Linked DNA regions of Diceros bicornis minor. The protein of the gene in region 2 purifies or fractionates together with the protein of the main gene of each other region. This does not show direct contact. Links are inferred from orthologs where the notes say so. Each region holds a gene or a part of one and is shown on either strand. Other genes may lie near its edges. The genes, in order: CTNNB1, SOX2, HDAC1 and CUL4A.

Region 1 (7,326 bases), on a different chromosome or scaffold from region 2:
TTTGTGAAACCTGAGAAATATATATTTATTTTAGCCTATTAACCTAGTTAACTATCACAGTCACAATTACAATAGTATTACATAAACAATAGTCTGTTAAAGAATGAGAACTGATTCTGCAATCAGTATCCTCTCAACGAGGGTACAAGAGGCAATAGCTACATGGTCTGGACTAATCAGAAGCAGCCTCCTCGTCTATATTTATTATTTACTTTTATGGTATAAAAATGTTTTCAGTCAAGCTGTTTCAACAAAGATATTGTATTCCCAATAAAAAGAGGGCTACAAGAAAACAACTAGGTGAATACAGTAATGTTTTCAAAAACAATGTCACAAGTCAACATGTAGCACTACAAAAGAGTTGCTGATAGTTTTTATTAGAAGTTTGTCCTGCTCTAAAAGCATTCAAACTTGCTGCCCTGGGTTAGCAATCAAGCGTGCTTCCAACCAAGCTCAAAGTACAAACTTAAAATTTACCACCTACTCATCTACAATTATGGATTATCAGCAACTAGTAAACCACGAAAGAGAAACAAAATCATGTTATAACTGGACAGATGAATTGTTTCATTTCAATAACATAAAAGTTTCATTTGGCTAACTATACTTATGTAGACCATTTCTGGGGTTTTATTTCACTGCTAACTTATAATAACTATAAAAGAGTGATATTCAAACTTGAATTCTCCACATCCCTAGTTTCAACAATACTTATGCTCCTCTTCTCACCCCTCCCAACAATAAAAAAGGATATCTGCAGATAGTTTTCCTAAGCATCACATCTCAATACCCTTAGACAAATCTGCCTACTTCATGTTTTCCTTCCTATTTGGGGAGGGGGCAAAGGGAACTGTCTATGAAAACAAGCATACAGAACTTTATTTATATGGACAAGTTTTATTTCAGTCATCACAGTAGAAAGCTCAATTCATGGTTTGATAAGTTTTAATACTGGAATACACATTTTTCTACATAATCTTGGTAAAGGAAGTAGTCAGCAATTAGTTCATAAGCAACAAAACTCTCGAATGCTTCTTGACATTTGAACACTGTTAAATGCTTCACTTTTTTATTAACCACCTTATTTTTAAAAACTTGGTTTTTCCTGAAAGCTATTTAAAATGACTGCTCTGGCCTCCAGGAAAATCTCAGGCCTAGGACTCCACAAGGACTCTAAGTTTTGTGCTATACTAAACTTTCCGGTGCCGGTTTTTATTCCCCCCTCAAGGACTTCAGACTTGAATAGTCTCAGCATTCCTTTAATCCTATAGAATGGTCTTCTGCAAGTTTTTCAAGTTACTGTTGCAATCACTTTAGGGCCTCGTCCTTGTACATGGCCTTCAGAACAAAGACTAGGTCAAAGTAATGAATATTGGGTGCAAATTAATCAAATTTTGTATAACGATACTCTCAAATAAACCTTAATGGTATTTTTAGTCCAGAGACTTTGAGTTTAAAAAAAGTAAAATGAATGGAGCAGAAGCCTTAGTTCAGATCAAAAAAAAAAAGCCTCCAAAGTAGAAGTTTGTCACTAATTTAAGCAGATACTAAACAACGGCATTATGTAAGTAACATTTCAAGCTATGTCTAATATTTCTTAGGACGAAAACAAGTTAACACAAAGATATCTGAAGGTAGTGAATGTTCACCAAGTGACAATAATGAAACGGCTTCCTAAATGCCAAAATATTTTATAACTTAGCGATCCGAAAAACATTAGCCTAGACTTATCAAAGGACAGCCGTCTCTTCAAGTTGATGTCTAGTCTAAGCCACCGCTATTCATGACACAAAGCTCTCATTTCACTAAAACCACTCCTCGATTTCCTTTTGCCGACCTCTGCATACCAGCAGGCCGGTCTCTCTTCATTCACCACTCACAAGCTCCGGGGGAGGGGAGACCACAGATGTCTGGAAGATACAAAGTATAAAACAATGCTCCCTCCAAAAGGGAAGAGAAAACGAAGGAAACAACTACACCCAACTGCCAAAGCTTTCAAGTTTAGCGGATTCAAAAGCGGCCTGTGAGAACTTCGAAAGTCTCTGTTCAAAGTCGTCTCCCCAGACAAAACACTGGAGGAAGCTGCAATGCTTGAATTTCATTTCACCAATTTCGTGGCGAGGGAAAAATTCACTCCGCTGAAAAGAAAACGTGCTCGGATAACCAAGTTTAGCTGCCATAAAAACTATCTGAATAAGTAATTTCTACGAACAAAATTCGCAAAGCAGTCAGAGGCTGAATTCCCGAGGTTCGCTCGATAAGAAACAAGCAAGTTGGCCTGGCCCCCCAACCCTTATTTTTAGTAGGGTCTCACACCCATCGCGGTAAATCCAGAAGACTCCAGTACACTGCACATCGCCGCTGTCCCTCAACTGCACGGTACAAGAAAAAATAGGTGCAAGACAGGGATTTTTCTGTGTGCAAACCCTACTGACGCATCGCACTGTCTGCACTAATAGTTTGAAGGTTTAAAGTTGCTTCCATTTAAACAAGCGCCAGTGCCAAACTCACATAGGCAGGGCGTTAAAAAAAAAAACACAATTCTCTTAAGAATTCCCTTAATTCGTCCTTAAGAACGAAAGAGGGAATCTGGAGAGAAAGTCCACTGGCCCTATCCGCAAGGCAGATGGGACCCAGGGTGCGTCCCAGGCCCAGCGACCGGACCCCAACTCCCCGCTGAGGCTGGAAAGGCGGAGCCCCCCGTCCCCACCCCGCCCCCCACCTCGGCCCCGGCGCATCCCGAGGCGCAGGGTCCCTCCCCCAAACTCGGCCGCGACCGGAGCCCCGGACGAAAACCACAGGCCCCCCGCACCGGCCATCCGAGCTCCTGGACGCGCCCTCGCGGCGCCCCTTCCCCGCAAGCGGCGCCCCCGGGGCCCCCGAGGCGCAGCGCTACCGGAACCCGGGCCCTGCCGCCGCCCTCCGCCCCCCGGGCGCGGCCCGCCCCCGCCGCCTCCCTGGCGCCCCCAGCCAGCAACCCCTGCTTCCCAACCCGGGCCCCACGGCTGCGCCGAGCCGGGCTCCAGCTGCCGCCGGGACCGCGCGCCCGCGACGAAGTTTAGCTCCGAAGAGAGAGCGGGAGCAGCCCCGGAAGGGTAAGGAAAGGAGCGCCCAAGCACCTCAGGGGAACAGGCTCCTCCCGCCGCGGGAGTCCGACCGTCCTCGGCCTGCAGTGGCGGCTCGGCGGGGACCGGAGCTGCTCCTCGGACCTTCCTCCGTCTCCGCCTCCCCTCGCTCTCCGCTCTCGGGAACCGGCTAACGCGGCTGCCACAGACCGAGAGGCTTAAAATGGCGCCGCACAAGGAGCTCTTATAAGTCGCGCAGGAGCCGCTGTATCCTGCCGCCACCGGCGCAGCGCGGAGCGTTCCGCCGCGCGAGGACAAGGGGCGGGGCGCGGGTGGACGGGGGAAAGTAGTCCCCGCGCCGCCGAGCCGGCTGCCGCCGTCCGAACGCCCCGGGGCGGGGCGGGGCGCCCGCGCGCTGCCCGGACGCTCTCCTAGGTAGAGCCCCGCGGCTCTCCCACCGGTCGGGACTGGAGGGCGGCCTGGGAGGGCACCGTAGTCCGAGGCGGGCGGGCCGCGGCCCCCGCGGGCCGGAGTGGCGTGGGGGGAGGGCGGCACCAGGATCCTCCACTGTCCGGAGCCCGACGCTCCCGCCCCGCGTGTGCCCCGAACCGTGAGAGCCGACGCGGGGCTTGCCACGCGCTTCCCGCCGCCCGCGGGAGGCTGCATCTCGGCCTCGGCCTTCGGGGGCCGCGCGGGCGGTCGGCACAGGCCCTGAGAGGGCAGAAGTTCGGGGCCGAGGCGGCGGCGGCGCGGGCGCTGAGGTCGGGGCCTGCCCCGCTCCAGGCGCTGCTGGGCGCCGCCGCCGCTGCCCCGCTGTCGGTCGGGGGACTCGGGCGGGTTAGGGCTTCTGCCAGCGCTGCGGTCTGGCCACACACTCCCTGCAGGACGTGGCTCGCAGCCCAGCCGCTCACCACCCTAAAGCCCCCCACTGTCCGGATCGTGCATCCCGCATCCTAACCGGCTGCTCAGCCTGAACCTGGGTGAACTACCGGGCCGAGCCGCCTGCTGTCCGCACTCCCGAAGGCTGTGAACTCGCGTTGGAGTGGGCGCCTAGCCCGCAATTCAACAAGTCCTATGAGTACCTACTGTGAACAAATGACTGATGGAAATGGATTAGCTCTAGAGCCCTGTCCGTTAGGTTAATTCTTATAGAGTCCATTTGTGTTTGGTTCCACTGTATTACTAAATATCAATAGGTTTGTTTTTTCTTTTTGTGGGGATTTTTCTTTGGAGAAGGTGCATTTCTACGGTATTACTTATTTGAGAAATCCAAGTATGTTGTTTATGGAAGGAACTATCGATTAGGCAGCTTCTAATTTTTTTAAAACTTATTTTCTGTTTTTCAAAAACATTTTCTAATTCTTTTTAATAGGCTAAAGTTGAGTCTTCATTTCCCTTGGAAATGTCTCCATTGTAATCCAGCAAGATTGGCATTTGTCAAAGCTGAAACAATTATGATCGATTCACTTTCTCTAGCCTATTGTTTTATGCTTATTTTCCCTCCAAAACAATAGAGTACAAAAAGCAACAGTGAAAGTTATCTTGAGGCTTTTATCCCTCTAATTAATGCATGCAAACAATAGGTCTTTATACATAGATACAAGCAGGAAACCTACTTACTCCTTTACTCATGCGGTAGGATATGTAGTTTTCGGTATAGTTAATACTTAAGGGCCAACTTGTTCTTTAAATAATTCTATTTTTTTTCCTGCCTGAAAGATATTTTACTATATACAGTGATAATGTCAACTGCTATCTGTCACTATTGCACATGTGGGCCCCTGCAGTGGAAAAAGTGCACACACGATGATGTTCAGTGAAATCCATTGTCTAAGATGACTTTCTCATTTTTATTTTTGCTAGTAATTCTGTAGAAGTAAGTGTGGCCAACGGTTGTGGTTAACTTGGCTGGACATAATTCAAACAGATTGACAGAAAAAGGTATTTCATCAAAGCACTGTTTCTAATATAAACTCAAAAGTATAAAATGGCATTTCCAGGTACTGATCCCCAATTTTAAAACTCATATGCAGAGTTAAAGAATATACAGTAGATTTAAGTCATAATGTAAAATCAGATTAATTAATGTTAGAGGTTCTTTTTGTATGGATATTTCCTTTTTCTATGTTTGGTTTTTTTTTTTTTTTTGCTAAATAAGGCACACTTAAATCAAGTTAAGAAATATTTGCACCATTAGAACCTCTAAAAGATAAAAAAACTCTTCTATATTTGTATTTCTCTATTCAGATGCCAAAATAATTGAAACGTTTTTCTGTAATTTAGATATCTTAATCTAAATTTAGAATTAAGATTTTTAAATCTATAATAATACTTTAAGCAAACACATGTTATTAAAGGAAATGTAAAATTTGCAACAACGCAGCAAGCTGTTTTTCCTGTCAAATTTAAGTGTACTGAAGAATTACTGGGTGACATTAAAACAAATTAGTTGAATTTAACAAATTGCTCAGAATTTTTATTTGCTTCTCAAAAAACAGAAATTGTTCCAATTGTCTCATCAAAAATATGAGATGAATAACTTGTGTGAAGTGAAGACAGATATTGTCATTAAACCAAGGAGAAATATAAGCATCAAAATACCTGATGAGTGGGTGAAATAAGTGATTTTGTAGAAATGATTTTAAAAAATTGACCTTGGGCAATACATTTCATAAAAAACACTGGGTTATCTTTTTACACCTTTTCCTTCTAGAGTCAGCCACTTGGGTGTGACCTAAATTAATCCACTTTGTGAAACTGCAAAAGACAAATGGTTCTAAATTTCAAGCTGTGTTCCTAGAAACCAAAGTGTCTCCAGCTGGGTTAGCGGAGGAGGTATTGCTTGTCATGATAGCAGACCATTGTCATATCAAGCAGGGGCTACATGGAACCTGAACGTAAAGCGTCCTTCACAAAAACACATGCTTTTAAATCACCTCTAGGCAAAGAAATAAATGCCCGGATTGTTATTGCACTTCCTACAGAAACATTAATCAAGCCAGTACTGTAAAGAAGGTCCGTTCACTTTTTGGATAGTTAACTTTATCAAATCCATTAATTAAACATTTATTGAGCACTAAGACAATGAGCTCCTTTAGAGAGAGGGAAATGGAAGACTGGCTCCTTTTGATTAGGTCCCTTAAATTAATGTATAATTGTAATTGTTAATCAACCCTACTCGAACGTAAACAGAAACAGTAGAAAACAGTGAGATGAGGGTGTGGTCTCCTCTGGACTCAGTATCTGAATCTCCTTGGGAAGAATCCTCTCCCAGCAGAAAGGTAAGACTAAATAATATTCCATGCATTTATAAACAATAGATCCCAACTCTCTAAGAAGGCCTATTAAAAATATTTCTTTTTGACAACCTGAAAACACTGGACAATAATCAGGATCAGCTTTTCATTTAGCAGCATATCAAGTGGGTTATTTATGGATTGGGACTTTTGATTTGCAATACATCATCTCAGGGTTCAGTGTTATCTTTTGATTTGTTTCCAGCTGAACAGGCTAAGTAGTTGTAAATACCTCTTGTCAGACTACATGGTTGGCTATTCTTGCACACAGAAGTAATCTAGGAACCCACTGGGCAAATTCGGCAGAGAGGCACCGTGGAAAGCTTGCATCTAGTGTGCACTGCAGAGTGAGGGAGGGGCAGTGAAGGTGGTGGGAGGCGATGGCCATGGTGGTGGCAGTGGCAGCAGCAGTGATAGTTTTGTTCATGGCCGCTGTGGTTATGCCAGCAACACTCTTCATACTTGGAGTTATGTGTTCTCCAGGCCTTCATTGGTTTGACACAGCAGTCATTGCCATACTAAGAAAGTACATTTTAATGGCTACCATAGATAGTGTGAAGGAGAAGCAATGGAGACATCATCCATGATATTCATAGAACACAAAGGTATATGTTTCTAAGAACTAAGACAATTACCGCTGCATTGCTAAGAAATCATGCTTTGGAGACATACCCCCCAACGTACATACACACACATGCACAAACACCTCTCTATTAAAAATTTCAAAATGGTTGCAGATACTTCATTCACAAGAAGGTTAAAGGCGTTTCCCAACGCAAGAAGGATTAACTTACCGGAGGATTCTGGGACTGCAGATGTATACTGCGGCAAAATCCTAAATTCATCGAAAAAAATCATTTCTGGACTCCAGCTGCTAAAAATAATAGAATTATAGTAAATCATGGGTAAGATTAAAACAAGCCATTTTCACATCCCAAAGTGTTCAGAAAAAAAATGATTCTTTT
Region 2 (6,134 bases):
CCTTAAAATATCACAATAAATTTACAGAAATATTACAAACCATAAGAAAATATTTCAAACACAGTAATTTCATGTTGTTTTTTTATCTGAACAAAATGGAAAGTTGGGAAACAAAAGCTATTATAAATTACCAATTGTGTCAACCTGCAGGCCATTTTTGCTTTTAACAGTAAGTTAAAAAAAATTTAGTACAATCTAAAACTTTTGCCCCTTTAAAGAAGACCACGGAGATGGTTTTGCCAGTGCTTATTCTAATTTTTTCCTTTTGTACAATTTTTAATCAATTAAAATGTCCAAATCTGAATAATTTTCTTCTTTCCACGTTTGCAACTGTCCTAAATTTCAGCTGCAGAATCAAAATTCAGCAAGAAGCCTCTCCTTGAAAAATATTGGCAAATTCTCAGCTTATAAACAATGGACATTTTGATTGCCATGTTTATCTCGATAAATACTGTACAAAAGTTGCTTGCAAATATTAAAACATTTTTTTCGTCGCTTGGAGACTAGCTCTAAATATTATTGGTAAAGACTTTTGCAAACTTTCTGCAAAGCTCCTACCGTATCACTAGAACTTTTAAAAAGTTTTGCGTAGCTTTCTTTCCTCCAGATCTATACAAGGTCCATTCCCTCGCCCTCCCCACCCCACCCCCCCGGTTTTCTCTGTACAAAAATAGTCCCCCAAAAAGAAGTCCAGGATCTCTCATAAAAGTTTTCTTGTCGGCATCGCGGTTTTTGCGTGAGCGTGGATGGGATTGGTGTTCTCTGTTGCAGCTGTCATTTGCTGTGGGTGATGACTTTTTTTTTTTTTTTTTTTAGCGTACCGGGTTTTTCTCCATGCTGTTTCTTACTCTCCTCCTATTTCCCTCGTTTTTCTTTGAAAATTTCTCCCCCACCTCCAGTTCACTGTCCGGCCCTCACATGTGCGAGAGGGGCAGTGTGCCGTTAATGGCCGTGCCGGGCACCGGGCCGCTCTGGTAGTGCTGGGACATGTGAAGTCTGCTGGGGGCGGCGGGCTCCGGCACCTCGGCGCCGGGGAGGTACATGCTGATCATGTCCCGGAGGTCCCCGGCCTGGCAGGGCGCCCTGGAGTGGGAGGAAGAGGTAACCACGGGGGGGCTGGAGCTGGCCTCGGACTTGACCACCGAGCCCATGGAGCCGAGCGCCATGCCCGGGGTGCCCTGCTGCGAGTAGGACATGCTGTAAGTGGGCGAGCCGTTCATGTAGGTCTGCGAGCTGGTCATGGAGTTGTACTGCAGGGCGCTCACGTCGTAGCGGTGCATGGGCTGCATCTGCGCGGCGCCGTGCGCGTTGAGGCCCGGGTGCTGCGGGTAGCCCAGCTGGTCCTGCATCATGCTGTAGCTGCCGTTGCTCCAGCCGTTCATGTGCGCGTAGCTGTCCATGCGCTGGTTCACGCCCGCGCCGAGGCCGGCGCCCACCCCGACCCCGCTCGCCATGCTGTTGCCGCCGGGGGCCAGCAGCCCGCCAGGCAGCGTGTACTTATCCTTCTTCATGAGCGTCTTGGTTTTCCGCCGGGGCCGGTATTTATAATCCGGGTGCTCCTTCATGTGCAGCGCTCGCAGCCGCTTGGCCTCGTCGATGAACGGCCGCTTCTCCGTCTCCGACAAAAGTTTCCACTCGGCGCCCAGGCGCTTGCTGATCTCCGAGTTGTGCATCTTGGGGTTCTCTTGGGCCATCTTGCGCCGCTGCCCGCGGGACCACACCATGAAGGCGTTCATGGGCCGCTTGACGCGGTCCGGGCTGTTCTTCTGGTTGCCGCCCGCCGCCGCCGCGGTGGAGTTGCCGCCGCCGCCGCCGCCGCCCCCCGAAGTTTGCTGCGGGCCCGGCGGCTTGAGCTCCGTCTCCATCATGTTGTACATGCGGGCGCTGTGCGCGGCCCGGCCCGCCGGCGGCCGCCGACCCTCGGCCCGGCCGGGACTTTGGGGGGCCCGCGGGCGGGGGGAGCGGAGGAGGGGAGGCGGGCGGGGGTGTCGGGAGCGCAGGGCTCCGCGAGGAAAATCAGACGAAGAATAGTTTGGGGGAAGAAAAGAGAGAGAGAGGCAAACTGGAATCAGGATCAAAAAAAGCGCTTCCTCCTCTTCTGGCCGATCCCGCCGCCGCCGATGATTGTTATTATTATTTTTTGGAAAGGCTTAAGCCTGGGGCTCAAACTTCTCTCCCTTTCTTTCTCTCTCCTCTTCTTTCTCTCAGTCCTAGTCTTAAAGAGGCAGCAAACTACTTTCCCCCTTTTGCAAACACTCTCTTCTCTGCCTTGACAACTCCTGATACTTTTTTGAACAAGTTAATAGACAACCATCCATGTGACGGGGGCTGTCAGGGAATAAATGGGTTTCCGGCGACCAATCAGCGCGCGGCGGCTCCTCCACTCGAGCCCGGCCTCGCCGCCGGGTTTTGCATGAAAGGGGGCGGGGCCTGCCGCGCCGCCGGGCGCGCGGGGGAGGCGGGGGACGCGGGGAGGGGGAGGCGGGGAGGAGGGGAGGGGAGGGGAGGGGGAGGCGGCTCCCACAGCCAGCCTGCCAGCCACTGAGAAACCTTTGTATCCCCTCTCGCAGCAACAGGTCACACCACACGCCTTTTCGAAGGAAGTGGGTAAACAGCACTAAGACTACGATTTTTTTCTTCCTTAAACTTAATGTGGATTTACTTTCTGGTGCGGGCTGCTGAAATGAGGAAGGGGCGCGAGAAGCAGCTACGGGGTGGGGGCAGGGCAGGGCCGAGTGGGTGGTTCTGGGCGACTGTCCTACTAGTATTTCAGGAAACGGGCCGCGCTGGAGTTGGTGTGTCATTGTTCTCCCGCTCCTCCGCACGCTGCCCCCACGCCGGCCCTCGGCTGCTTCTCCCTCACCCCGCTCTGGCCCTCGCCCCTCTTCCTCCGCGGGGCCCGGCCCTCGCTCGGCCCCTTCTCACTCTGCCCCGACGAGAAGTTAGGACACGGAAAGCTCTGTCCTCAGAACGCTCCCTGCTTCCACGTAGTTTGCTCTGCTGTTAAAATAAATCCTGCTCGGCCTCTGCGGCCGACTCGAGAGCCGAGGCCAGGCCGGGCCTGGGTGAGCTGCCGCCCGGCCCGGCTCTCTGGCGCGGGGACCCGCAGCCTGTCCCCTTACCCCCAGCCACATCGCCCACCAGTCTTTCTCCATTCAGTCGGTGCAAAGGGGATGCTCGTGTTCTCGTCCTCTCCCCATTCTCCTCCTGAGCCTCCCTCAAGGAGGGATTTCACTTGTGCGGGTTGCAAAAGGGGGCTGGGCGAAGAAAGATCCACAGAAGGGCGCTCAGAAGTGCGGGCTATGGGGGAGGGGAATCTCAACTTCCTGGCATCCCACCGCACTGTGTGGAGGTGGCTTGGGCCGCACTCACAAACTCCCTCCCACGCAGAGTTCCCAGGACTCCAGCAGAACCAGCCCTGGCATTTCCTCCAGTGACTTCTCCCGTGGTGGCCGCCTGGCCGGGGCCGCTCGGGTTGGGGCTGCGCTCCGAGGGGGCCCTAGGCCTTGGGGGCAGGGGTGGTGCTCGCCAGGCACAGGTGCAGGCAGTGCAGGCAAGAGGAGGGCGGCCGGGACTGGGGACGGGGGAGCCCAGCAAGGCTAGGGCTGGAGGAGGATGGGATGGGGGCGGGGGTAAGGGCTCAGGAATCCTGCCCGCCCAGGACCCAAGAGGGTAATTTTAGCCGCTCTCCCATTGTCCCAACGTAAAGATTTCAATAGGTAGGCGCTCAATGCGGAGAGCAATGGCAGCACGTCCGTTACAAATAGGTAGTTTTGTTTCTCTTGTTGTCGCTACACGGAGTCAAACAAAGACCCGTCTAAGTTTCCTTCCACTCTCTTGTTGGGATCTTTGTGGCTAAAATGCACTTGACTACAAAGGGGAGGGGGGGGGTTGTGGAGAAAAAACCCTTGATGCCATTTCTTTTTTATAAAGGGCTTAAACCATCAGGGTTACTTATTTTCTTTCTTCTGTAACACTCTCTCCGCCCCCTCCTCCCCTGATCTACCCTTACTCACCCTAAGAAAATGTACTGAATAGTATCTGTCGGCCACGTTCCATTTATTATCTTTACAAAACTGTGCATTGTTTTGTTCCTTACTAACCTTCTTCCCATAACTGCCCTCTCCCCTACCCCGGCCCCCAGTCCAACTTCTCCAATCCCTGCCCTCTCAGGCTTTTCTGTTCTTGTCCAACTCAAGATAACTGTGCTCCCTGGAAACCCAGAAAAGTTGTAAAAGGAATTCTACAGACTTGTCGTAATAAATTATTACCAATCAACCTTCCCTCCCCCTGCAGGTTCTCTTTTTTCTATTAAGTTATGGTTTGTTTTAGTTCTTAGGAACGCGGGAAGTATGAGACTGGCTTTCTCGAAAAGCATCAATATATGGCACTCTTCAAAAGAAAGCAATGTCTTCTGTTTATGCGAGGTGTAATATTAAGCTAAACACGGACCTGGAGATTAGGAAAGAGAAAAGGTTGAGAGGATCTGGAGAAGAGAAGGCGGCCACCGGCTTTTCAGCGCGTATGGTTTCAGAGATGTGGCTGGTGCGCCCCCTACTGGTGGATTCGCTTTTCCAAGACTATTGCTTTTACCTTTAAAAGAAGGTGTTTGGAAATAATTACAGAAAAAAAAATGAGGGGGATGGGAGGAAGATCAAACTAATTACACGTAATCTAAACAAAAGAAAAGTTAACATATCATATAAGCTATGGAATCAATCGTAAGAATTAGATTTAATTTGCTTAACTTAGAAATGTACATATAACCTCTAGATAAGTGGGAGGTTAAACCATGGGAAAAAAATAGGCACAAATTATGAGATTCAACATATGAATGAATTATGATTGTCCAGACGCCACGAAGGGCAGACCAAGCATTCACTTTATGATTGCGTATACATTGGTCTGCGCCTAACTGCATTATTCTGAAAACTAAAAAAAAAGCTTATGGATAATTAAGTTTGAAGAAAAAAATCAGGGAGTTGGTGTGGATAATGGTGGTGTATATGAATTGAAATAAGTATTAATAACGGATGGTTATAGAAGCAAATATTTTTAATCTCTCTGTCTCTCAAGGGGTAGTAAGTAGTAAGAGGCACAAATTTTTCCTTGGGATGATGTATAAAAGCTTTTATACATTCTCAGATGCATGTGTTTGTGCCTGAACTCTATAATAATGCATTTAAGAGGTTAAAGGGGCTGGCTAGGTCTTTTTGTTAATTGCTTTTATCATATAAATAAGCTATGGAAATACATTGCAATTGTGTTATCATTGGTTGCATTTATTTACAGCTTTATTTTAATTAAGCCTGCTGTACTTATCAAGGCAATAAACTAACTGTGGCTGGCGTTTATGCATAATAATGTGCTATGAAAATAAGATTAAAGAAGATGGTGATAGCAGAAACAATTTTCTCATTAGACTTTTTAGAACATATGCATTAAAAAAATCAGATCACCGGCCACTCTATTTCAATCCAGCACCATCACTGGCCCCTAAATATAATAATAACTACAACAATCATAATAGATGACAGAAGCAGCACTGTTTTAGGTTTATAACAGACGGCTACAGGACTAATAACAATATGCCATTGACTCCCAGGGAATCAAAATAAGACTCGGAAGAGGGTGCTTCATCCTCTGAGAATTTAAAATGTTGCCATTGGCACCATTTATGAAAATTGAAAGTGCTTAATCTAAAGAGAGGGTAACATTTCCCTTCCATACACAGCAAAAAGCTGCACACTTTTAGAGCAAGATTAGAAATTATGAACAAAAATGCATAACCCCTGGGATATTCTGATTTGATTTTGTTCTACTATAGGCCCCAGCCCCAAATCCTTAACTGATTAAGTGGAACTCAATTTTATTTACAAATCTCTTGCATTGATATTTCTCTCCTCAACTCCCCTCATCCCTCCTCAAGTACTATATCTGAAGCCAACTAACAATTTTGTGGAGATAGGGGACTGTAGACTTATTTTTTCTTCTTAGTGGCAAATAGAGGTTTAACTTGCAGTAATTAGGTGAGAACTAGCCAAGCATCTTACTATTATGATGCTTGTTAAAAAACGCTTCTTTTCTGCATCTGCATTTGAGTGTGTTCCCCTCCTCTCTTAATCTTCTTATGG
Region 3 (8,030 bases), on a different chromosome or scaffold from region 2:
TAGCTCAGAGCCGGTCTTCCTCAGCAGAAAGAGGAGGATTAGCATGGATGTTAGCTCAGGGCTGATCTTCCTCACAAAAAAAAAAAAAAAAAAAGAGTGGATCCAGCCAAGGCTTAGACTTGGGGAACTAAGATACCTTATCTAAAAGGCTAAGGGAGTACCTGAGGGTAGGGACCAGAGACACCATCATTTTCTTAAGAGTTTTTAACCAGGTTGCTGAAAGACTTAAAAGAAATAATCCTTTTTACTTAGATACTACTTTTAAACTTTTAAAGAGCTTTTCCCCATTTTCATAATTTTTCAGTTTTATAGGAGAGTGAGCTGAGGCCTGGAAGGGTAAAGTGACTTGCCCAATACTGCAAAGCTTCTGAGTGGCAGAGCCAAATCTGAGTCCCAAGCTAGTGACCGCACTGCAAAACTCACAAGAAGTTTCTCAAAAAGAAGTCTCCTTCTCTAAAGACCAGGATCTTTCCACTTTTCCTCTTTTTAAACTGAGTGTGTGGAGATCACAACTGTGCAAACTAATATGGCTACAAAGTCATAGGCTCCAGCCTCAAATGGGCCCTCACCACCGCCCAGCACTCCTTCCAAATTTCTTTTCCTAGCTCCCTCTTTCACAACAGCTATTGAACAGCTCTCTCTCTTCAAGATTCCTACTCTACCAACTGCCCTCCCCGACTTGCAAGAAAAAGACTATTCTCTTACTTCATCTTGAAAACTCCCTCAACTTCCTCCCCACCTTCTCCCCCTCAAACCTACCTACACTTGAACTCTTCCTTGCCACTTACCCTCTTGTCACGAAGGAACTTCCTCTTGAAGGCTGGTGTCCCTAACTGTGCTCTGGTTTCCATCTCACCTGGTCTCAGAAAACTCCATCATTACTAGCCCCTCTCTTATATCTTCAACCTCTCCTTCTCTCTGGCTATTTTCCATAAGAATTTGGAAATTCAACTCTCAGCCACTATACCTCCCCTTTATCAACAACCCTCTCTCTCTGCCCTGGAGAAGCTTCCTTCAAAAAGGGTTCAACCTGATGTCTCCTCTTCCCCCATCCATTTGTTCCTCAGTCTACTGCAATCTAGCTTCAGTTCCAAACCCTGCACAGGAAACAGTGCTTGCCAACACTAGGCCACTCCCTCCCTGTTTTGGCTACTGTAACCCAACACTTTCGGATTCACTTACATCTCTGGCCATTCCCTCTGTATCTTTGTTCATTTAATCAACAAGTATTTATTGAGAGCCTACTATGAGATAGGCACTGTTCTGGGGGCTGAGCATACAAAGGTAGAGAAGACATAGTCCCTTTCCCTAAGGAGTTTACTGTCTGTAAGAAGTATGAAGAAGTAAATGGGCAATTCCAATACACAGTGACAAGCGCTATGACAGAGCATGAAGGGCACTAGACTTTTCCTCAGTCCACTTCCTTAGGATTCCACGCTGGATCCTCTTCCCTTTGCACCCCATACAACTTCTTGGGTGACCACATCCTCTTCTGTAACTAAAATTACCATCTGTATGCTGACGACTACCAAAAATTGCTCTCTTCTAAACTGCAGACCTGAATGGCCAACTGCCTACTGGACACCCAAAAACTCGGATAGCCCCCAGACATATCAACGAATTTTTCTTAAAAAAAAAAAACAGTTATCAACTGACATGGCCTTCAAACACTCTGTATCAAACTGTCCAAACCAGAAACTTGGGATTCTCACCTTCTTCCCTACCCCTGCGTTCATGAATTTAATTTCTGTCCTAAGGTATAAATCTGATTATGTCACTAACCTGCATAAAACTTCAATGATTCATAAGCACCCTCAGAATAAAGTCCAACTTCCTTAGGGCAGTATGCCCAGCCCTTCAGGATCCAGTCCCCATTTACTTCTCCAGCCTCATCACTGGCAACCTTTCCCTGGCCCCTGCTCCCTACCCTCTGCGCTCTGCCCTCAGATCTAGGCCTCAGCCATACTCTACACACAACTGCTGTTTTCCAAAGGTGCTGTCCTCTCTTACCCCTAAACTTGCTGTTATCTTGGACTTCCCTGTGCCAGGCTAACAACTCCTGTTTTTCAGGTCCTAAGAGATGGCACCTCCTTCCCTGACTCCTCATGCCGGGCCGAGCGCCTCCCCTCTGTGCTTTCCTTGATCCCGCCATGATAGTGGAGAGCAGCTCTCCGTCATTGTCTGTCTTCCCCTCCCGACTGAGACGAAGATGGGAAGTGACCTGATCCTCCCATGGCCCCAGCACCTCAACACTCCCTACAACAGAGCAAGTTGGTCGACAGATTTCTGTTACATGAAAAAGTCTGTTTTAATAGGTTGCATCCTTCTCCCTCCAACCCCAGGGGCCCCATTTCCCAGCAGCAACTGCAGGCCCTGCTCGCAGGCGGGGGGAGGGGAAGCCGGTGACCACGAGTTGGTGATTCCCGCAGGACTCTCACCAAAACAGAGGAGGCAGGGAAGGCGCGGGGGAGACCTTTGTCTTCTCAGCAGGAAACATACACCCTTGCAACCTTCTCCATCAGATTCTGCCTCCTCCCTCAGACCCAGCCTCCCCTCCAGGAGTCCCCCTCAGTCTCCACATCAGCCTTCTTCAGGATTCCCCCCCGCCAAGATGACCTCAGGCTTCCCTGGATGACCCCCTCTCTGCCTCAGCCTCTTCCCTCAGTCTCGGCCTCCTTCCTCTCAGCCTCCTCCCTCAGCCCCGGCCTCCTTCCTCTCAGCCTCCTCTTTAAGCCTCTATCTCCTCTCCTCAGCCTCCTCCCTCAGTCCCAACCTCCTTCCTCTCAGCCTCCTTTCAGCCCCGACCTCCTTCCAATCAGCCTCCTCCCTCAGTCTCGATCTCCTTTCCTCTCAGCCTCCTCCCTCAGCCTCGATCTCCTTCCAATCAGCCTCGTCGCTCAGCCCCGACCTCCTTCCAATCAGCCTCGTCCCGCAGCCTCGATCTCCTTTCCCCTCTGCCTCCTCTCTCAGCCTTCCCTCAACGCCCCTGCCTCGCCCAGCCTCCCCCCTCAGATCGCCTCAGCCTCCCTCTCCGGGATCCGGCCGGGCCAGGCCCCGCCCCCGCCGCGAGGCCGGGGCTCACCGTCGTAGTAGTAACAGACTTTCCTCCTGGTGCCCTGAGTCTGCGCCATCTTGCTCGCCTCCCGTCCCTCCCGTCGGTCGGTCCGTCCGTCCTCCCGCCCGCGGCTCCGCAGCGTCCGACCCAGGGGGGGAGGGGGCGGGCCTCCAGCGCGCTCCGCCCATCCCCTCCCGGGATCACCTATAGCCGCGCAGCCCGGGCACCGCTCCAGCCAATCAGCTCGCGCAGGGACGGCCCGGAACTCGGCAGGGGGCAAGGGCAGCCCTGAGAGGCCGCCTAGGGCCCCCTGGGCCTGTACCAAGGTCGACGACAGGGGGGTGGGGGAAGCTGCCCGGGGACCGTACCATTAGTCCCGGGGGAGGAAAGCGGTCTGTAAAGTTCGCAGTCCCTCTTTGGGGTTGGTGATCAGAGGTCAATTTTGTAATTTTACAAAGAATCACCTGAGGCCTATGGGGGAAAAGTGACTTGCACAAGGTCACTTAACTCACAAAAGGGCTGAACCTGGATTAGAACCTGAGTTTGGAGGAGGGAGGGGTAATCTGACAAACGAAAGAAAACTGCTGGAGGCCAAGTACTGTACAATAGTTTTACCAGCGTTATTTCGGTTATCTCAGGCCTCACAACAGCTTTGGAGTAGGGCTTTTTATCCCCATTTTACAGATAAGCATAATGAAGTTCAGGCCTTTGTGACTTGCTCAGAATTGCACAATTAGTAATTAAATTCAGTTTTCAACTGTACAGACTTTTTGAAGGCCTACTATGCACCAGAGGCTGTAACAAAGTAGCAGAACCCAGACTTTCTTACTCCAAAGCCTACCTTCCTGATGCAGTCACCCAGAAGGAGTGCCTTTAAAAAGGAGGAAATTGATTGTCCTCTTCTGGAGCAGGGTTTCTCAACCTTGAAGCTACTGACATTTTGGGCTGGATAGTTCTTTATCGGAGGGGGCTATCCTGTGCACTGTAGGAAGCTTAGCAGCATCCTCGGCCTCTACTCGTTAGATGCCAGTAGCACATCCCCCAAGTTGTGACAACCAAAATTGTCTCCAGACATTGCAAAACTGTCTCCGGGGCAAGGGGGGAGGGGATTGGAGGCAGTGTAGAATTGCACCCCCACCCCCACTCTCCCCTTGAGAACCACTGCACTGATGATCAGTCATCAACTGGTCATTATTGAAAGCTGAAAGACTGAAAAGCACCATGATGGGCTATTAAAATAACAATTACAACAATATTAATATTTAGTGAGTGCTTACTATATGCCAAATAAGTTACTCACTCATGGTCCTATAGTCAATAAGATACATTTTTATTCCTCTTTACAGTTTAAAGAGTGCTTGGACACTTGTGTTCCTCGCTTGGGAACTGCATTGGGGTCATTAATGATAAAGGTAACAGAAGATCTAAGACCGGTCAGTTCTACTATAGAAACAGCAAAGGGCCAGGGCCAGGGAACACACCCTATTCCCAGTTCTGTGTTGCTGCTTCTGTGTTGCTAGGAACCTTTCTGGACCTCCATTTCCCTCTTTGTAAAATGGAGAATGAGAATAAAAAGTTCACAGACTCTATGGCTACACTGTCCAAATGAGGAGGAGAGTGGGGATCAGTTGAAGTCATGGGTGTGGCAGCATTTTATAAAATGTAGAACAGGAATCTCAAACTCAGATGCCTAAGGAGATCAAGCAGGTGATGTAAATGAGTGGATTCATACTATATTATTTATATTAGTTTGATTCTGTCACTTTGCATATTTTCAAAATTGGATTCTTTTTCGCTTTCATAAATAAATATGCATTTCCCCCACCTTTCTTCAAACACACTGCCATCTTCAGGTATCTTTAATTTTCTCTTTTTAATGGAAATGTGGGTGCAAAAAATCATTTCATTTTCCTCTTTATTGTAAGAAAAACAGCACGAGCGTGATAATAAATAGCTACTAACACTTAGTTTAATTGTCTGGGAGCAATAGGGAGTGGAGGAGACTTTGGCAAAGAGAGAGCTCATGCCCCACCTGAAGAGTGTGGCCACTACTCAGCTCCATGAGGACAGGTAAGCCTGACGGAGCCAAATCCTCCTGTTTTTTTCAAGAGAAGGCAGAAATCTGGAGTTTTATGCAAAATCTCACCAGTAGTATAAATTGACTGCTAACTCAGTCTATTTTCAAGACGGCAGTAAGAACCATCCTTTTAAAATATAAGTCAGATCATGTCAGGCTCTGCATAAAGCCCTGCAAAGGCTCCTCAAAATGGCTCCTGCAAAGGCCACAAGGCCCCAGGCCCCATAGGATCTATACCCCTCCCTCAGGCTGTCGTTACCTCTCTGCGGTTGCCAGGCAAGCTTCTGCTTCATGCTGTTCCCTCTGCCTGACAGACCCTCCCCCATACCACATGGCTCAATCCCTCACTCCCTCACCTCCTTCAAATCTTTGCTCGAAAATCACCTTCTCAATGAGATCTTCCCAGACCACCCTCTTTAAAATTGCAAACCTCCCCTAAACATGACAGTCCTAATTCCCCTTACCCTGCTGTTTTCCCTTGAGCACTCATCACCTATAGCATACATATCCTTTACTTCTCTGTGATGTTTACTGTCTGTCTTCCATTACTAGAATGTAAGCCCCAAAGGGGCAGGGATTTTGTTTATTTTATCTACTATATATCCTATGAACCCAGAACCATGCCTGGCACACAGTAGATGCTCAATAAATATTTGTTAAATGAGTGAATTAACTCAATGTTTAAAAACATCTTGAAAGTGAATCAAAACATATCTGAGGCCAAATATAGCCCTTGAGTCCGTAGCTGTAAAAAATGCTAGTGCCCTTATATAATGGGAGGGGGGAGAGTCCTGGGACACACCCACTCCCTAGGAGGTTCTGGGTAATGGTCACCCTTAATCCTTTGGGGTAGTGGTTTGAAGTCCATACAGCAAAGTGTAGTAGCAAGTGACCTCCTCTTGGCCCCCAACATCAGCAGGGCTGGAAAAAGTTTACACATCCCTTATTCTATCTCTCACCCCAATTCAGGGTGACTCAGTTTCCATCTTCTGAATGCTCCTCCCCCCTCCCAAGGAAGAGGAGATGGGAGTGGGGAGCAGAGAGATGTACAATCTTCATCAACAAACAGACATTTATTGAGCTCCTGATGTGTGCCAGGCACCAAGGAGGAGCACATAGAGGTATTAGATAAAGTCCTGGCCCTCAAGGAGCTTCTTGATGACCAGGGGAAAGGAAAAGGGGGCGAGCAGAAGCTGGTGTCAATCACAGGCCTCGCTCCTCTCTCTGGTGGTCTCCGGAAGTGGGAGGGTCCAGAAAGGGACAAGTGTCCAAGACATATATGCACAGGCCACACATGTACAAGACACATGTGCAGAGCCCACACAACTACAGAACCCGTGTATAAGACACGAGAAGTGTGTGTGTCATGCATGGGCGGGATTCACGTGGTGCAGAGTCCGTACGTTCATAGGCCACATGGGTATGACACAAGAACCGTTATCTCCCAGAGCTGGGTTGGCTAGATGGGGGAGGGCTCCAGGCCCCAGCCAGCTAGGCCTCTCAGGGCTGGGGCTGGTACTGGCCCTCTGTGGCTGTGAAGAAGTCCTCCAGCACGCTGCGCAGGTAGTCAAAGGTGGGCCGGTCCTCTGGGCGCTCCTTCCAGCACAGCATCATGAGTTGGTACAGCTCATCTGGACAGTTGTCAGGTCGCACCATGCGGTAACCTCGCTCCAGGTTCTGAATCACCTCAGGATTGGTCATCCCTAGAGGTTAATGGGAGAAACAACATCAAGGCTCCAGACTTTATAATTTTTTTTCCCCCCAAAGCCCCAGTAGACAGTTGCATGTCATAGTTGCACAGCCTTCTAGTTGCTGTATGTGGGACGCGGCCTCAGCATGGCCGGAGAAGCGGTGTGTCGGTGCGCACCTGGGATCCGAACCCGGGTCGTCAGCAGCGTAGCGCACGCACTTAACTGCTAAGCCATGGAGCCAGCCCAAGGCTCCAGACTTTGGAAGCCCACAGACAGGGAAGATGTTCAGAATATTTAACAACTGCATGGTGTGAGCACCAATCCAAAAGGATCTTGGTCTTCGTCAATGGTAAGGCCATACCAGCAGTCCCTGCTAAATGTCAGCAGTTCCACTTGGAGTGTCTGCTATGGCTTGAACACTCAACGACACACATATGTTGGCTGTGAAATCTTGGGTGAGCCACCTTACCTCTTTGAGCCTCAGTTTCCTCATCTGGAAAATGGAATCAATAGTAGCTCCTACCTCATAGAGTTGTTATGAGGATTGAATGAGAGAGTGTGTATAAAACACCGAGTATACTGCCTGGAGAAGAGATGCTACATAAAGAGTATCTGTGATTATTATTATTTGGTGGGGAAAGATGGGGTGGTCAGGGCCCAGGGCAGGATGGAAGCTCACAGCCAGGACAATGGTGAGGCTTCTCCAGCTTTGGGAAGAACCATATGAGATGCTACATCAGGAAGCCAGATGGACCCTGGGCCCCAGCAAAGAACACCCGACATGGGGCAGAGAAGGTTCACCAGGCCCCTCCACAACCCAGAGGAAATAATCTTTGGGCCAGTTCCCACCTTTTGTGATGGGTCCCCTGGGAGGCTCCTAGCACGTGGACCCCAAGAGGAGCTGCTCTGGAGAACTGCGTGGTCATGGCAGAAACATCACTTCCTGTTTCTAAATGACCCATGTGGCCTCTGGTTTCTCCTTCGGTCTCCTGAGAAGAGACTGTGGCAGGCAGTCTCCAAAGACTAAACTCTTATAGGGTCCTAACAAAATGGAAGTTTTGCTTCTACAAAGCTTTGGACCTGACCCTGGTCCATAGAGACCCCACTTCCCCAGGCCGCCCCCAGGAGGTTTCTAGCTATGGGCCCCTCACATTTCAAAATCAGGACACTGGAGGACACAGGCTGGGGAACTAAACACCTGTGGTTA
Region 4 (7,474 bases), on a different chromosome or scaffold from region 2:
AACGGCAACAACTGGGGCAACGGGACGTCTACAGGGAAAGACAGAACCTGGGTTTCACCTCACAACATATACAGAAGTTCACTCCAGACAGATTACAGACCTCAGTGTAAAACCTAAAACCCTAAAATGTCTCTAAGGAAATACAAGGGAAAACCTTTACCACCTGGATTAGGCAAAGATTTCTCAAATAGACACTAAAAGCAGAATCCATAAAAGACCAAACTGATACACAGACTTCATCAGAATTTAAAACTTCTGCTCTCTGAAAGACAGAGTTAAGAGAATCAAAAGATAAGCTGTGGACTGGGAGAAAAATGCAAGACCAATATCTGGTATAGGACTTGTACCCAGAACACATAATAAACTCAAACACTCCTTAATAAGAAACTAACCCCATAAAGTGTGTGCGCTCCACTGCTGGCGGCCCGGGGTTCGCAGGTTCAGAGCTCGGGTGCGCACTGATGCACCACCTGTCAGGCCATGCTGTGGCAGTGTCCCACATAAAGTGGAGGACTATGGGCACGGATGTTAGCCCAGGGCCAGTCTTCCTCAGGAAAAAGAGGAGGATTGGCAGATGTTAGCTCAGGGCTGATCTTTCTCGCGGGAAAAAAAAAAAAAAAAAACTAACCCCATAAAAAAATGAGCAAAACATTTGAACACACACTTCATTAAAGAAGGTATATAGAATGGCAATGGGCACATGAAAAGATGCTGAATATTATTAGAGAAATGCAAATTAAAACCACAACAGAATTCCACTAGACACCTACTAGAACAGCTAAAATTAAAAAGACTGACAATAGCAAACGTTGGCAAGGACGTGGAACAACTAGAACTCTCATACACTGCTGGTAGAGATGCAAAATGGTGTAGCCATTTGAAAAACAGTTAGGAAACATCTTATGAAGTTAAATATACACTTTCCTTGTGACTCTGAAAACCCACTTCTAGATATTTATCCATGAGGAATGAGAATATATGTCCACACAAAAACTTACTTGTTAATGTTCACAGCAGCTTCATCCATAATAACCTCAAACCGGAAACCCAAATGCACATTAACTGGTAAAAAGATAACCAATTTGGTGACCCATACTGCCCACACCAGCAACAAAGAACAAATTACTGTCACACGGCGCATGAATCTCACAAGCACTATCTTAAGTGAAAGAAGCCAGATACAAAAGATTGCAAAGTGTACTGTTCCACTCAGATGAGATTCTAGAAATGGTGAAATATACTGACAGAAAGCAAATCAGGGACTGCCAAGGATTGGGAGTCAGGGCAGAAGAGTGAATTCCAAGAGGCCTCGGGGAACTTTTTGGGGCGATGAAAATATTCTCTACCTTGATTATGGTGGTAGTTATACAATTGTATACATTTGTTAAAACTTATTGAAGTATATGTTATATGTAAGTTATACCTTAATAAAGTTGATCAAAAAACATAATAAACTCACATAAATTTAAAACAAAGAAGGGAGGTATATCCATTAAACTGTCAATAGAAGTCTTCTTTGGGTAGTGGGAGTATAGGTGATTTTAATTTTCTTCTTTGTACTTGTTTGTAGTTTCCATAATTTTTAAAATGTAATCACTTATGTAAATAGAAAAAAAAATTTAAGCTCAAGTCTCAATTTGTGATATTACATTATTACCTAAAATACAGATAATATTAGCAAACGTTATTCTTTAAAAATAAAATATGAGAAACACCAGACTGCTGGTAAATGTAATATCCAAATAGTAAAATATACTTTTGAGCATTTTTTTCTCATGTTAGAAATGGAACTTCATTACTTTAGGTTAAATGTAACAAAGTCTGTATGTTTTAATTGCAACAATTAATCACAAAACACAACGAAGAGGGGGGAAAAATCTACATTAACAAGTGAAACCGTAACAAGTTTCATATATAACATAATGGAATTATAATAATAATTTGCTGCATACTTGGAAAATGTTAAGAGTCATGTAGCCCGAAAATAAAATAGAAATCCCACAACCCCCACAAAACGAAAACACTGGCTGACTCTGGGGACCTGCTGTCACAGGCCCTCCTGTCCTGCTGGAGGCACATGCTTGGATTTCCATTGGTTCCTTCGCTACTGACGCTGAAACAATCCCGAGAACCAGAGCCGGGGTGTGTATCACACCTCCCTGCAGCTAGATAACCGTGTTACTCAGCCAGCCACAAAACCACCCGGTACGGGAGAGAAAGGACGCCGGCTCCTCCGTCCTGAGGTCCTCCTCGCCAGGACAACCCCGCACTGACAGGTCAGCGGGTTGCGAGCGGCCGGCCCCGCCGCTGCGGGCTCACCTGATAGAGCTCCTCCAGGTTGTACCTGATAGACGTGCTACTCTGGATGGCCTTCACCGCCTCGTGCAGCTTCTGCCAGGTGTCCTGAGTGTAGTTGTCCGGCAACTTCGGTCTGTCTGTAAACGCAGAGAGATCAGCGGGGTCGGGTCCGCGCCAGCAGCCAGCATCTTCCAGACACTCCGCAGAAAAGCCCTCACGGGACACCAGGGCCGGGAGCAGAATCGGGCTTCCCAACACAAGGCACCGCGTTTACACAGTTCCCGGGTGCAGACCAGGCGCCCGCACGCCGCTCCACGCGCCCGGCCACGCACGACCCCGGGTCCCGGGTCACCGCCGTCCCGCCGCAGGGCCGACGCCCCGGGAGGGGACAGCAGGGAGGGGGGATCACCGGAGAGGCCCGCGGGGAGGGCACCGCGGGAGGGGACTGCGAGGAGGGGACCGCGGGAGGGCACCACGGGAGGGGACGCCCCCGCCCGCCCCGCCCCGCACCCACCTCGGAAGTTCTTGATGACCAGCTTCCTGGAGCCGCCGCCGGGCTTGGCGGAGACGGCGGCCGCGGCCAGCGACGCGGGCTTGGTGAGGCCGTTGGTGTGGCCGACCAGCGCCGAGAAGCTGCCCTTCCGCGGGGGCTCGTCCGCCATGGCCGCCGCGCTCCCTCGGCCGCCGGCGCCAACCGCCGCCCCGGCCCGGCCCGAGGAGGCCCGAGGCCCGCGAGCGCGGCCCGTCCGCGTCGGCCACGGGCAGCGCGGAACCCGCACAGTCGAGGGGCGCGGGGCAAGCCCTGTCAGCTCCGGGGGCCCGGGCGCCCAGGGGCGCGGACGAGGCGTCCTCGCTGAGGGGAGGCGCGGAGTCGCGGCCGGACGCCGGCCTGCCTCAACCCGGGCGCGCCGCCATGCCGGCCCGGCGCTCGCGCTCCCGCGGACGCTCTCCCTCCGGAACCGACGTGCGCGGAAGGCGGGGCTGGCGGGGCCGGCGGCGCGGGGCCCGGGACGGACCGCCGGCCGGAAGTGACGCATGGCCGGGCGCGCAGGCGCCGTCTGGGTCGGGCGGCGGGCGCTGCCATGGCGCACATCACCATCAACCAGTACCTGCAGCAGGTAATGCTCGCCCGGCAGGTCGCGCGGGGCGACTCTTCCTCCCCTTGGCCTGCGGGGCCCCGGGCCGGGGTGGGCACTGCGGGCCTGGGCAGCCTGTTCCGCGCCTGCCCTGGCCGCCGGACGGGAGGCCGGGACGACGAAGCGGCAAGCTCACTGGGTGTCCTGGGGCCCCCGGGTACACCCACGGTCGCGGCCCTCAGCCTGGGGACGTGGAGAGGGGTCCGAGCGGATCCCCAAGGGCCTGTTGGTCACGCTCAGGAGCAGGGGCGCGGCCGTTGCGTGGCCGTTGAAGGCCTGACCCAAGGGCCGGACTTCGAGTTTTGTTTCGGATGAACGCTGGTGGACATAGGAGATGGAGATGGCAGGTGGTCCCGCCGCGAGCCGCTGGCCACAGCTGCCGTTTAGTACACCCGCTGTGTTAGCACCTGGTATACTATGGTATCCTGGGGAAATGTCTCTCGCAGGGGTTTTGTCCATGCAGCCTGTAAACGGCAGAAGCATAGTTCAAACATAGGTATTTATGGATTCAAAGCTTGCATTCTTCCCGCTAGACTATGGTAATTCGCAGAACTAGGACCGTGGTCATAAGGATAAAGGAGTGGATTTTAAAAATATCTGAAGGAAACATTACCAGGACTTGGTGATTAAGAACTTGTGGTTGAGGGACCTCGGGAGGAGTGAAGAATGATTTCCAGGTGTCTAGCTTGGACGACAGGTGAGCAGAACAGATTCGGAGGGAAAAGTCAGTTTACTTTTGGACATGTGGAGTTGGAGGTGTCTATTGACAACCAGGTAAAGATATCTAGTTGGCAGGTGAATGTTAGTCTAACATGATTGAGACCATTAGTTGCTAGTTAATTGAGAAAGTTGTTTAAAACGGGAATCATGAAAAAAAACAGATACATGCTTTTATTTTAATTTAAAACATACAGATATACATTCACTTGCCAGTCTTTTGATTGAAGCCTTGTCTTTAAGGATAGGTCTACCTTGGCCTTATCTTTGCAGAGTTAACATTTCCCATATCAGTTTAAAGTTGAACAAGAACATAGACATCTGAAAACCAATTTGAATATAGAATCTCTCTAGAATTTTGTTTTCTCTTAATCGTTTACAATTTTCTTGCCCACACCTAATTCCTTTTTTTTTTTTGGACATTCTGTGTGCCTTGAATGGTGTCTGACCCATGTGGATGCTCAATACAATTTGTTGACTGGATAAATGGAGGCAGATAGGAGGCGTTGAGGCTCGCTTATAGGGCTGGATGGTAAAGTGGAGTGATTCGCCTGTTCTCAGACCTCCTCCCTCAGTCTAGTGAGTAGTAAGGTTCAGACCCAGGCTGGTCTGTCTGACTCTAGGTTTCATATTCTTCTGTTTCACCAAACTGCGTCTTGGTCCTATTCCCTGCATTCCCAGAGGAGCACTCAGAGAATCTCCTTTCTTGTCTGTCTTATGTGGTGAAGCAGTTGGGGTATGATGAGAAGCACAGTAATGATTAGCGCATGTTGAACGCTTAATAAGGACCAGGCGCTGTTGTACGTAGTCATCATCGCTGTTTTTCTCGGAGGTGGGTCCATTGCAAGCCCCATTTTGCATAGGAAAGCAGTGGCTTTCCAAAGTCATTGGCAAGTGTGTTGCACATTGAGACCGGGAGTTCCGGCCTCAGAGTCCATGCCCTTAACACAAAGCTCACTGCCTCTCTTAGCCTAAGTTTTGGCCAACATTTCCTGTCCTAGCTAGAACCTGCCTATTTCTGTTTCCGAATTAAATATTTTTTTGAATCTCATTGACCTTGTCAGCTTTGATACATCTCCATTCCTTATTTCACAGCTTCACCATGCCCACAGCCAGCAGCTGCCTGAAATGCTGTGTCTTTCATTCCCCATGTGCTCTGTGATAACATCCTATTATCTGTTGGGTCTGGAGTTTCATTCTACTCTCCTCATAGCTTAGGAGTTCTCCTGGTAGGTTCTTGGGTACTGGCAGAACGCACGCGATTCCTGGGTCAGAGACCAAGGACTTTAGTACTCAGCATAGCAGGCAGCACGGCAGCAGCATGATGGTATTGCGATGGCCCAGAAGGGCCCCTACACGTGCATCTGAGAGAGAAACATGGAACTTGGGGAACCCACCCATTCTATAGCAGGCTGAAAGCAAGTCTGCTTTCTGTCCAGGGTTGGGGATGGGGGGAGACATTACTTCATTTCTCAAGGTGACCAGCTGCATAAACAGCCCTGAGTAACGGCTCAAGTGAAAGAGCCAGCGGTCAATCCTTGGCAGGGGCAGAGGCCGGAGGAGGCCCTGTTGTCTCTCCCAACACCCAGCTGTAGCTAGCATGTCCCCTCATCTATTTAGTGCTCACAGTGTCAGCAGGCATTCAATTTAGTTTCTGTTTGGAAGGGACAGGTTGAATTCATTTACCTTATATTTTCCCCAGAGGTGGCTCTCTTCATCATTTCTAGTATCTTTTTTTTAGTGTCCTTTATTTCATTCTTTTGTCCATTCCACACACTCTTATTTTACATGGAAAATTACTTTTGTGTGTGTGTGTGTGTGAGGAAGATCAACCCTGAGCTAACATCCATGCTAATCCTCCTCTTTTTGCTGAGAAAGACCGGCTCTGAGCTGACGTCTATTGCCAATCCTCCTTTTTTTTTCTTCCCCCAAAGCCCCAGTAGATAGTTGTATGTCATGGTTGCACATCCTTCTGGTTGCTGTATGTGGGACACGGCCTCAGCATGGCCGGAGAAGCGGTGCGTCGGTGCCCGCCCGGGATCTGAACCTGGGCTGCCAGCAGCGGAGCGCGTGCACTTAACCGCTAAGCCACGGGGCCGGCCCCATTATTATTCTTTTTGAAGCTCAAATTGTCCCAGATTTGGCCACTGGGAGCCCCTTCAAACTGGTTTCTGTGGCTTTTTGACCTGTCTCCATCCTTTGGTCTCTGCCTTGCTTTCTGGTGCAATAATATATTCATTCCAGGCTCACTTAGTTCTTTCCCTGTCCCAGCACTAGATCAGACTTTTCCCCAAGAAGCTCTGGTCCCTTTTAGTGGAGGGTGAATTTAGAAAACAGATATGAGTGCTGGGTGTGCTTATTGCTATCAAGGTATCATTACTTCTAGGCCTTTTCAGTGGACGGAGCTAGTAAATGTATTTTTAAGGAATTAGGAGTTCTAAGAGCAGATGATTCCCCAGTGGATCAGCTTGGAGCCTGGAGGACAGGAGTTGACCAGCAGCAGCCAAGAAAGAGAACTTCCTGAGAGTACCCAGAGCCAGAGAGTTTCACCTGATGACCTCTGCAGTCCCGAGGCCAGGCCCACAGGGGTGCTGTGGACAGTCTCGCCTGGAGTGCGGCCGCATGGTCCAGTGCAAGGTGCTTAAATTAAAACACCAGGGCCAGCCCAGTGGCGTAGTGGTTAAGTTCACATGCTCCGCATTGGCAGCCCTTGGTTCGCCGGTTTGGATCCCTGGCGTGGACCTACACACTGCTTATCAAGCCACGCTGTGGTGGTGTCCCACATACAAAATAGAGGAAGATTGGCATAGGTGTTAGCTCAGAGACAATCTTCCTCACCAAAAAATAAAAAAAATAATAAAAGACCAGAAGTTCTGGGGTGTGACGTATCAACAGTGACTAAAGCCGTGACTGGGTTGCCCATGATGCTAGTGTCCACTGAGGTGCACATCCGTCTTGGAGATTTGATGCGAGTGTGTCACCATCCCTCTGTTTTCCCTCACACCCCGTGACGAGAACTTTGCAGGTTTTCTTAGCTTCCTTGAGGCAGGGGCACCAATGGGACCAATATTTTGTGATTACTCGTAATACATGAAATGACCTTTTGTTTCTTGTAAGGTAGATCCCTAGGAGTGGGATTGCTGGCTCAGAACTTAAGTGCATGTGCAGTTTTGTTGAATAGTCAAGTGGCAAATTCTTTATGATACAAATTATCTTGGAAAAGGTGTGGTAAACTTCCCCAGTCGATGCCCTGAGTGGTAAGCAGAGGAGGTGTCCTTGTGGCTTAGGCCTCCATTTCTTCTGGCCGTGGATGCCTGGGCTTT

The links.
Region 1: the proteins of SOX2 (region 2) and CTNNB1 purify together in Homo sapiens (affinity purification with mass spectrometry; 3 studies listed by BioGRID and IntAct, with this or other methods). This does not show direct contact. The link is inferred for Diceros bicornis minor from reciprocal best matches to the Homo sapiens genes SOX2 and CTNNB1.
Region 3: the proteins of SOX2 (region 2) and HDAC1 purify together in Homo sapiens (affinity purification with mass spectrometry, with the first as the bait; 3 studies listed by BioGRID). This does not show direct contact. The link is inferred for Diceros bicornis minor from reciprocal best matches to the Homo sapiens genes SOX2 and HDAC1.
Region 4: the proteins of SOX2 (region 2) and CUL4A purify together in Homo sapiens (affinity purification with western blotting; 3 studies listed by BioGRID, with this or other methods). This does not show direct contact. The link is inferred for Diceros bicornis minor from reciprocal best matches to the Homo sapiens genes SOX2 and CUL4A.

What each region holds. Positions count from the first base shown.
Region 1 is NC_080741.1:43,546,560-43,553,885, reverse strand, and holds the start of CTNNB1 (catenin beta-1), read right to left. Parts: upstream 3,285-7,326; 5' UTR 3,120-3,284; intron 1-3,119. UniProt on the Homo sapiens protein: Key downstream component of the canonical Wnt signaling pathway.
Region 2 is NC_080754.1:41,644,274-41,650,407, forward strand, and holds SOX2 (transcription factor SOX-2), read right to left. Parts: upstream 2,149-6,134; 5' UTR 1,878-2,148; coding exon 915-1,877; 3' UTR 649-914; downstream 1-648. UniProt on the Homo sapiens protein: Transcription factor that forms a trimeric complex with OCT4 on DNA and controls the expression of a number of genes involved in embryonic development such as YES1, FGF4, UTF1 and ZFP206. Binds to the proximal enhancer region of NANOG.
Region 3 is NC_080752.1:47,050,676-47,058,705, reverse strand, and holds the start of HDAC1 (histone deacetylase 1), read right to left. Parts: upstream 3,189-8,030; 5' UTR 3,132-3,188; coding exon 3,083-3,131; intron 1-3,082. Other genes in the region: tyrosine-protein kinase Lck, read right to left, coding at 6,633-6,835. UniProt on the Homo sapiens protein: Histone deacetylase that catalyzes the deacetylation of lysine residues on the N-terminal part of the core histones (H2A, H2B, H3 and H4).
Region 4 is NC_080748.1:86,945,018-86,952,491, reverse strand, and holds the start of CUL4A (cullin-4A), read right to left. Parts: upstream 3,187-7,474; 5' UTR 2,961-3,186; coding exon 2,813-2,960; intron 2,436-2,812; coding exon 2,320-2,435; intron 1-2,319. Other genes in the region: PCID2 (PCI domain-containing protein 2), read left to right, coding at 3,381-3,416. UniProt on the Homo sapiens protein: Core component of multiple cullin-RING-based E3 ubiquitin-protein ligase complexes which mediate the ubiquitination of target proteins. As a scaffold protein may contribute to catalysis through positioning of the substrate and the ubiquitin-conjugating enzyme.